2 linked regions of the Caenorhabditis elegans genome follow. The protein of the gene in region 1 interacts with the protein of each later gene in a pairwise test. Each region holds a gene or a part of one and is shown in the gene's direction. Other genes may lie near its edges. The genes, in order: sqst-1 and snrp-40.1.

Region 1 (5,045 bases):
CTCACCTTGGGCCCTATGCAGAGGGACAATCAATCGGCCTAGAGGAGGCTGGTCATGTGTTTATGCATAGAAATATCGAGAAAGAATGCGAGACACAGAGATGAAGAGGCATCATTCGGCCTCATTTTGCCCATAGCAACACTTACACTCGTAGGCTCGGTAGTGGAATGTTCCAGATGAATACTCTTGCTTTGACACGATATTTAAGTAGGAAATTCCTTTTCTAAAATCTAAAACTAGCAATTTCTTGCGGTTGTGTAACCGAATCAAATATTCGAAAATTAGCAAAATTTCGCAATGAATATTCTCGTTTTTTGGCAAACCGTTTCTTTTTTGTCATTTTGACTATTACACAGTCTCCTCCAGTGGAAATCGGTCCGTTGGCGCACTTCTCGTGCATCGCGTGGAAAATTGAGAAATTACCAAAACTTTCAATTTACTGTTTTTCTTTATATTTTTCATAACATAAGCTTGGGTGGAAGATTACTTTTCAAATAAACATCAATTTCTACTAGAAAAATGATGATAAATATACAAAATATGAGAAAAACTCAATTTTTAGTTGTTTTTACTTTTTATATCAGCGCTTTTATTTTTGAACCAAAATCAAAAAACTTTTTTCTCCACCTTTCCCCGAATTAGCTTTACAATTGATACCTAATTTCAAAGTATGAAATCGATTTTAAACCCACAAAAACCGAAGGAAATCATTTTTCAGTGGTAAAATTTTGCAACGCTCACGAGAAACGCGCAAGCCCCCTTGTTGGGTCATTTCCACGTGAGGAGGCTGTGTATTATCCTTTCTGATTTTTTCCGTCAAAAATACGGTACCCGGTCTCAACACGCTTTTTTGTTGTAAAATACAAGCAAGTATGCGCCTTTAAAGAGTACTGTAATTTCAAACGTTTTTTGCTGCTTAATTGTTTTCCTTAACAATTTATTTGTTTATTTAAAGACTAAAAATTGAAATTTAAAAGCACAGAATTGTTTTAGAAAAAAGTTTTAGAATACAGTACCGGTTGGAATTTGAAAAAAATTGTCGTGTCGAGACCGGGTACCGTAGTTTTGGCGCAAAAATCACAACATTTCGCGTATGGATAATATTTAATTGCATTTTTACATAACTTTCTTGTAGGCCCAACAGTACCTACTTGCCTGCCTACAGGCAACTCTCTACTGCTACTAAATTTTTGACGCCTTCACGAAATTAGTCACTTATGATAATGAAAGTTTATATTTTAGTTCTAGAGAATCTGTTCAACTAGATCCTAACAAAAATAGTCTCCAAGAAATTTAGATGAATGATAATAAAAACTTGTTGGAAGTGATCTACTAGATCTAGATACCACCTTGAACTTTGAAGCCTTGAGTGTTTTTCTTTTCATATCTCCGTTCTTGCCCCCTTTGTTCATCTCGTAAACATCTTTAAAGGTTCCAAAAATAGTACATTTCCTTTTTGTTGTTGCATTATTCTCCAAAAAAATGAATTATGGTTTCAATTTCTTACACAATACAATCATTATGATGATTATTCGAAGTATAATATTTCGAAATTTCCTTTTTTCGATTTCGCAACTCTCGCAACTCAATAATGTCAATACTTGTTCTATTATCTTTCACTCTCTTTTCACTCACTTTCAAATAACTTCTCATTTTACTCAGATGGCTGCTGCATCATCCGCTCCTCACCAAATGCAAGTTCGTGTGACTTTCTATACAAGTCACAATCCGCAATCGGTTCTCATGATTTTGAAGAACGATCAGGCTCTTCAACAGATCTCCGAGAAGGCAAGAGAACTGTTCCCATCGGCTGATTATCGTCTCTACTACGGTAAGATATTATACTTTTGTTTTTGCCCCGTTTGCTAGACGAATCAATTGTGCAAATAGAGTATTTGTATGCCACACCTATGTTATGACAAAAAAGTACGGTGCCCGGTCTCGGCACGATTGAAATTTTTAATGGACGTTCCGAGGAAGAGTGTGCGCCTTTAAACAAACCATTTTTTTAAATTTAAAGTTTAACTAGATTTAAAAGGTCGTTATTTTTGTAAAACTCAATTTAATTAGATTATATTTAAGATTTCTAATTTCCCTAGATATCTCACAGTAACTTTTTTCCAAATCTTCAAATTTTCAGGTGATGTCAACGGACCAATCTTTGAGTTCACCAATTCGGATCAGATTATGTCTAAGATTCGAATCACTACATTCTCTCGAACTCCTCAACTTTTTGTTCGCCTGGAAACTGTTCCCCTTCGTCCAACAGCCCTACCATCAGTGAGCACTGAAACTGCCAAAAAAGCTTCCGATGCTGATCGTGAATCAAAGAGCAGATCCTCGCTGAAGCGTATCGAGAACAACCAGGAGCTCACATTGAAGACGCTGGAGAAGTTGCAAAAGGAGCTCTCAAGAGTTAGCGCTTTGGAGACGATGGTTGCTGATCTTCATGCAAAGGAAAGAGAACCTGTTGTCGAGGAAGTTCAGAAGCCATTCCCTCCAGTGAAGCACTCGGCGTCTTGTGATGCTTGCCTCGGTGACATCATCGGACATAGGTTCAAGTGTCTCGAATGTGCCGATTATGATTTGTGCGAGAAGTGTGAGAGAAAATCTTTACATTATGAGCATGCAATGATCAGAATTGTGGAGCCAAAGAAAACAATGATCCCATCATATGTGACATCAAACTCTCCGAACAATGTCTTCCCAACTTACATGCAGCACAAGATCCAACAACCACAAACTATCAAGGGGATCAACAAGACTGTTATCACGAGACTCGTTCCTTCACATCAAGTTAATCCAGCTCCAATGCCTCAAGCTCCACCAGTCTCCACTCCAGTTCCATTCCCTCCATCTCCAACCATCGGAAATGGAGCAGTTCCAAAACCAGCCCAGGAGCCTCGGATCCCACCATCTCCAACTTCTGCTCTACCACCACCACAATTCTTCAATGAGGAGACCCGTGCAGCCATTATTAATAGTGCAGCGTTGCTCAAGGAAACTTTCAGTACTTTGAGCAGAAGCTTCTTGGATTTGGCAGATGGTGCACAGGCCAATATGGATAAAAAGATCATTGAACGCTCGACCATGGAAGCAGGAATGACCAAATTCGAAGAGAAAATGGATAATTTGAAAAGACACTGTGAGGAGAAATATCTTGGAACGGAAACTGCTGAAGCTGAGAAGAGCGAGGAATCTTCGAAGAAGCAAGCAGATAGCTTGTCTGGACCAAAGATCAAGAAGGCTAAGAAGAAGTCCTGCTACAAGAAATCTGCCGAGAGACTATTCACAATGCAACTTGCTGCGGCGGCTGCTGAGCAAGCCCGTCTTGAACAAGAAGCCAAGAAAAGAGCTGAAGCCAGCTCTGCTGAATTACAGAGGAAACTTGCTGAGCTTAATGTGAAGGAATCTCAATCAAAATCCGAGGAAAACATTGCTGACTTTGTCCTATACGATCTTTACGGAAACTCCTTGGAAGCTTTGTTGAGAGGTCGTTCGAGCTCTAGAATCGCCGATCCTCCGACCACTCCAAATACCGAACCAGCCACCACAGAGTTAGCTTCAACGACCTCTGCAACTCCAGCCGTCACTGCTCCAGCATCAATTGTTCCAGTTACTCCAACTGCACCAATTGTTGAAACTCTGATCGTTCCACCACTTCCACCAGTGGAATCAAATCCAGAAGAGGTTACACCAATGGTGACTGCACCAATCTCAATTCACTCTTCTTTCGAGAACATTTCTTCGGATTTCGAGAGCCTCAGTCCATCATGGGGAGGATACCCAGATTTGGAAGCTGCACAACGTCTAGAAGTCATCGATGATAACTTACTCGACTTCTCTGATGTTGCTGTTGAAGCCCAGGAAGCTCAAGAAGCTCAAGAAGAAGCTCGCCCAGAGCCAGAGCAATCTCTACCACCATTTAATGAGGAAACTGAAAAGGTAAATCTAAATGTCGTCCATGAATCCCCTAATCTAACGAATTTTCAGACATTCGATCGTCTCCTTGAGATGGGATTCTCCTACAACGTCACTGTTGCTGCAATCAGAGCAAATGGATCGAATCTCGAGATGTGTCTTCAGGCGCTTCTTCACTAATTTGTACATCCTGTATCGTGTCGCCCAACCAACTCTCTCCTAGATACTATTAGTCATTTTCATCATTCCAATGGAAAGCTGTATCTATTTTTTCTCGTCTTGAACCTGAAAATGTTGCTTTTGCGTAAATTGCTTTTTTAATAATCTGAAATTAATAAAGTTGTGGCGAAAAATTATTGTCAGCTGGTTTATTTCAAGTATGGTGTTGCTTTCTGAAACTTGGAGGCTGAATTTTTCTTACATCTGTAGAATTTTATCACATTTCGAATAATTTCAGATAATTTTTTAAAAAACCTTTTCCAAAACAAACTATGAAAAATAAACTTCAAAACATCAACTAGTTCTATTCTCAGGTTGAATATCATTCATTACCAAAAGAGTTAAAGCGTTTTCCAGAAAAAGTTTCGATAATTTTCCAAAAGCCAATTCGAATATTTTCAGCAAGTCGCCGCGTACATTTAGAAGCATCTATCATCTTTGGCATATGGAAGCGAACAGCTTTGAGCAATACGTTTTTTCAGTACAGTTACAAAATCCCATTTTTCTCATCGTTGCATCGAAGATTTTTTCAAAAATTTATATAGCAATAAATAACAATATGTGTACATTTTGAAAATACTTTTACTTTAGATGGAAAGTTTCGAAAATTTGCTCAAAAACCGGCTCAAATATCAAAGTGCAAATCGGCGCATGCCACATTTCGATTTTTAGGCAGTTTTTCAGTAACTTTTTGAAATTTTCGATCCAAAGTGAAATCATTTTCAGAGAGTACAAGCATTTCTCTATATGTCTATATAAAGTTCCAGAAAGTAATTTTGACACAACATGGAGAAAAGTACAATTCGGGAAATGTGCCAAAAAAATGATCGCACACATCTGCTGGCTTCCATATTTCAAAGATGACATATGCTATCAAAACAAAATAAAGTAATAATGATTGTATA
Region 2 (4,384 bases), on another chromosome or scaffold:
AATTCATTTGAAACTCACTGGATTGTATTTTTTCTTGTTGGCCGTTTTGAAATGTTTCTTGAAATCGTATTGATGTTCAGAGAGAAGCTCCATTTCTGCGACGACATGTGGGGTTCGATTTGTTGCGTATAAAAAGACAGCTAACTTTGGGAAAACCATCTCAAAGATTTGATTTTCCTTTGCATCCCATGGAAGTGGTTTTCTTGCTGCCCCAAAGAAACCACTGAGCTCTCGAAGTCCAATATCTGCAAAAAAAGTATTGACGCTTTTATAAACTTGAACTCAATCTCACTTGAAATTTTGCGAACGAATTCGTGAAGTAAACTTTTCTTCTCAACATAGGTATGAATATGCTCTGCAACAGCTTTTCTGTCTTCCCAGGATCTGATGGCATTGGCTGCGTTCATAACTGACATCGAAGTTTCGCCGAAGATGTTTGTGTATAAGGTAGGTGATTTTGTTTGAGAGAACCGTTCATTAATCTTCCTATATTGGGTGAAGCTTTTTTTCTCCTTAATCTTTCCTGGTGAGCTGAGTGTTGATGGTCCAAGCCCATTGTGAACATTATAATTGAGGGTTTGCATTGCACCTTCAGGTTTCGGGAAAGTGTACATCAGTTGAGCAAGCTGATTATTTGGAACTGCTGAATTGAAATTCTACGTAAACCTCCATATTTTGTAGTTTTGTTGCTTAATTAGCTGACTTTTACATAAATATAGCTTCAAAGTTTTCATTGTTAACAAAAATAAAAATGGCACTAAACAACCAAATTTCATATTCAGCTAGATACGCTAACGTTGACAATTTGTTTGCTAGAAAATACTTAATTTATATTTTTTGAAAGTTAAAATTTTGATGTACAACTCAGCACGTAAAAATTGTAAACTCAAACCCACCATTGAGTAAAGACGATCCAAAGATTCGTGCAGCCAAAAGCAATATAGTTTTAGTTTGCTGGAACTGTAGATATTCTTGAAGAACAGCATGGATTTTCTGATACTCTTGTTGGATTGACGTTAGACCCACTTGGCGCTCGCCAAAATTCATGAGACCGAACAAGCGTGAAAAGTCATCAACGTTTGCTGAAATTATTGTTACATTATTTTATTGGTGTTAACAATTGACTTACTTAATTCATGCAGAAGAACAGTGGAACGTTGTTGCAAAGTCTCAACGGCTTTTGGTCGGTCGTGTAACCACTCCATTTTTTCCTGCATTGAGAATTGATTAATGTGATTGAGTATACAAGTGGATATGTGCTCCAAAGGTTGGATATTTCTGTGATACTCAATCGCTCCGTCTATTTCCTCATTTCGTGTTCTTATATTTTCGTCATAGTAGGCCGGGCTGCTTGTATGGTTTGGTTGAACTGATTGATCATGTTGTTGGGTAACAAATTGGTTTTGTTGATTCGTAACAATTCGCTGAGTTATTTGATAAAGATTCAGCCTGTTCAACGCTTGCTGCGCCTGGAGCAATTGCTCTTGATCACTTTGCAACATCAGTGCCGCAATGAATTGATTGAGAAATATATTCTGAGTATCTGAAAACATATGAATTTATATGTAAAACAATCAAAACGAAAAAGCAACAATGAGAAACGGAAAAAAACTCTAAACTGATATAATGTACAAAAGATTCAGCATGGGAGGAAAGAAAAGTGGAGATGGCTTGGAGAGTTGGCAGGTTGCCAGGGGAACCTTTTTTGGCAAGCCTGATGCGTACGTAGCCTCAAGCGTTTTTTCGCCTTGATAACGTCTAAAGGTAACTGATAGCGGACAGAATCCAATGTTTATCTCCATGTCGTCTCCACTCTCCGTGTGAACCACGCTCTTCTGCCTAGTTGGCAAAAATTTGTTTTTTTTTCTGTAATGTGCACTCTTTCTCGTGGCCTCCACAAATTTCCATGCGGTCGTTGGTTGCCACACAGCAGCTCTTCTCACTCTTCTTTGTTTCTTTTTACTTTCCTTCTTTCCTATGCTCTCTTCTCAGCGCCGGCAGACATTGAGAGGAGACCCGACCTGCTGCCAGGGAGGGAGGACGAACGGCAAGTGTGCGCACTAGAAAATGTAAACGCGCTCCACCGCATTGCATTTACAACTCGTCTCCGCGTTTCTCACACTGCATCGTCATTGTCTATTCGAAAACGTCTTCCAGTGTTCAAATTTGTTTTTCCAGTGGAACCCAACATTTACCAACACAACGATGGCTCTTGTTACTTGTAAGTTTATTTTATAATTTTGTGTAATTTATTTTTATAAAACATTTCAGCTTCGGGACAGCAACTGGTCAGCTCTGGATTTCCACAGCAAACTGCGCAGAGATTCTCCAATTTGATGGTAAATATTAAACATTTATCAAACAACAAACAGAAATCTATATTTTCAGGCACCAACAATGGTTTTGCTAGGTCATGAAGGAGAAATTTACACCGGTGCATTCAGCCCAGATGGAACATGCTTAGCGACTAGTGGATACGACCAGAAAGTGAGTTTTTTTCAAATCCTTGTGGTCTCAAGAATTTATATTCAAATATTAAATTCTATGATTTAATTATTAATTGGTCTTTGCAAATAAGAACAATTGAACGTAGAACTTTGTATAGTCTTGAAAAAACCGAATATAAAACTACCTTCATACTAAACAACCCTTTTAAGCAATGATTTGCAGATCTTCTTCTGGAATGTATACGGCGAATGCGAGAACTTTTCTACAATCAAAGGACACTCAGGAGCAGTTATGGATTTAAAATTCACCACCGACAGCAGCAGTTTGGTCTCTTGTGGAACAGACAAAAGTGTTCGTGTCTGGGATATGGAAACCGGGACTTGCGCTCGTCGCTTCAGAACTCACACAGACTTTGTGAACGCCGTCCATCCGTCTCGTCGTGGTGTAACTCTTGTCGCTTCTGCCAGTGACGATGGAACATGTCGTGTGCATGATATGAGAACCAAGGAACCAGTGAAGACTTACACCAACCGATACCAGCAGACAGCAGTTACATTCAATGATTCTTCGGATCAAGTGATTAGTGGTGGAATTGACAACGTGCTCAAAGTTTGGGACATGCGTCGTGACGAGATTACTTACACTCTGACTGGACATCGTGACACAATTACTGGAATCTCTTTGTCACCAAGTGGGAAATTCATCATTTCCAATTCAATGGATTGCACTGTTCGACAATGGGATATTCGACCATTCGTACCAGGACAACGTTCGGTGGGAGTTTTTGCTGGTCATAATCACAATTTCGAGAAGAACCTTCTCAAATGTTCTTGGTCGCCATGTGAGAGATTCATCACTGCTGGCTCGTCGGATCGTTTTCTCTACGTCTGGGAAACACTGTCGAAAAAAATTGTGTACAAGCTTCCAGGTCACATGGGAAGTGTCAACTGTACCGATTTCCACCCAAAGGAACCTATCAGTGAGTTAAAAATAAATTACAAAAATTTAAAATTTCCATTGTTTGACCATTCAATAATTTCAATTTTTCAGTGCTCTCGTGTGGAAGTGACAAACGTGTTTTCTTGGGAGAAATCGATATGAGCTAGAAATTCAAAACATCCATATTCGCCGGTTAAATTTGTTTTTTGTCATTTTTCTGTTTTGTTTTTTTCACTGGATCTCCTTTTTTGATGTAATTTTTGAACTTACTTTATGTCCGACTCTCTTTATTTATTTTTCAGTGATCATGTTTTATCAAATGAATTCTTGCAATTCAAAATTGAAGTACGCCAGAAAAATTGTTTTAATGGAAATACGAAAGAAGATGAAGGCGGTAACAGCGAAAGATGAAGGTCAATATTTAATCAATTTACCGCAATTGCTCTAGAGTAAACAATTGGATGGATAATTATCAATGCGTGAAGAAGTATCAATTCGCATTCCGAGTTACTGGCAATTGTTTAATTCTCAAGTTCTCCTTTTTTCTTTCTTTTTTGTCAAATGGCAAAACAAGTTTAAGCATATTTTCCTTTTTTTAAGTGTTATAGTTGAGTCGTATCAAAATGATCGTTCCCTGAGTACTGTCATACTGAGTCGAGGGGCCGTATGCAAGCTTTTCAGTCTTTTACAATTTAAAAAAAGCATAGAATATGATTGAAACAAAAATCTAAGAAACCGCGCTCCATGCTTGCAAACGGTGTCGAGATAAAATTAGCAGTATCCACGGAGCAGTTATTTTGGCGCGACCGTGTATGATTTCAATCGAGTTTAATACTTGGATTATTAATACAGACCAAACTAAACTATTCCATGATGGGATGTCTGTGCACAGTTTTTTATTGAGCAAACAAGTACTTGTACGGTTGATTGCAGCTGCATGATTTCCCGATTCTCGCAGTGGACATGAATGACGTACTTAAAAACACCAACCGTATTT

Evidence for each region.
Region 2: the proteins of sqst-1 (region 1) and snrp-40.1 interact in a two-hybrid assay, tested with the Caenorhabditis elegans proteins (one large-scale study listed by BioGRID).

Annotation. Positions count from the first base shown.
Region 1 is NC_003282.8:12,032,620-12,037,664, forward strand, and holds sqst-1 (ZZ-type domain-containing protein), read left to right. Parts: upstream 1-1,662; coding exon 1,663-1,831; intron 1,832-2,140; coding exon 2,141-3,945; intron 3,946-3,993; coding exon 3,994-4,101; 3' UTR 4,102-4,272; downstream 4,273-5,045.
Region 2 is NC_003284.9:11,297,422-11,301,805, reverse strand, and holds snrp-40.1 (U5 small nuclear ribonucleoprotein 40 kDa protein), read left to right. Parts: upstream 1-2,021; 5' UTR 2,022-2,205; coding exon 2,206-2,221; intron 2,222-2,271; coding exon 2,272-2,339; intron 2,340-2,388; coding exon 2,389-2,487; intron 2,488-2,670; coding exon 2,671-3,427; intron 3,428-3,498; coding exon 3,499-3,554; 3' UTR 3,555-3,770; downstream 3,771-4,384. Other genes in the region: F08G12.3 (RasGEF domain protein), read right to left, coding at 19-245, 293-643, 897-1,082, 1,130-1,502.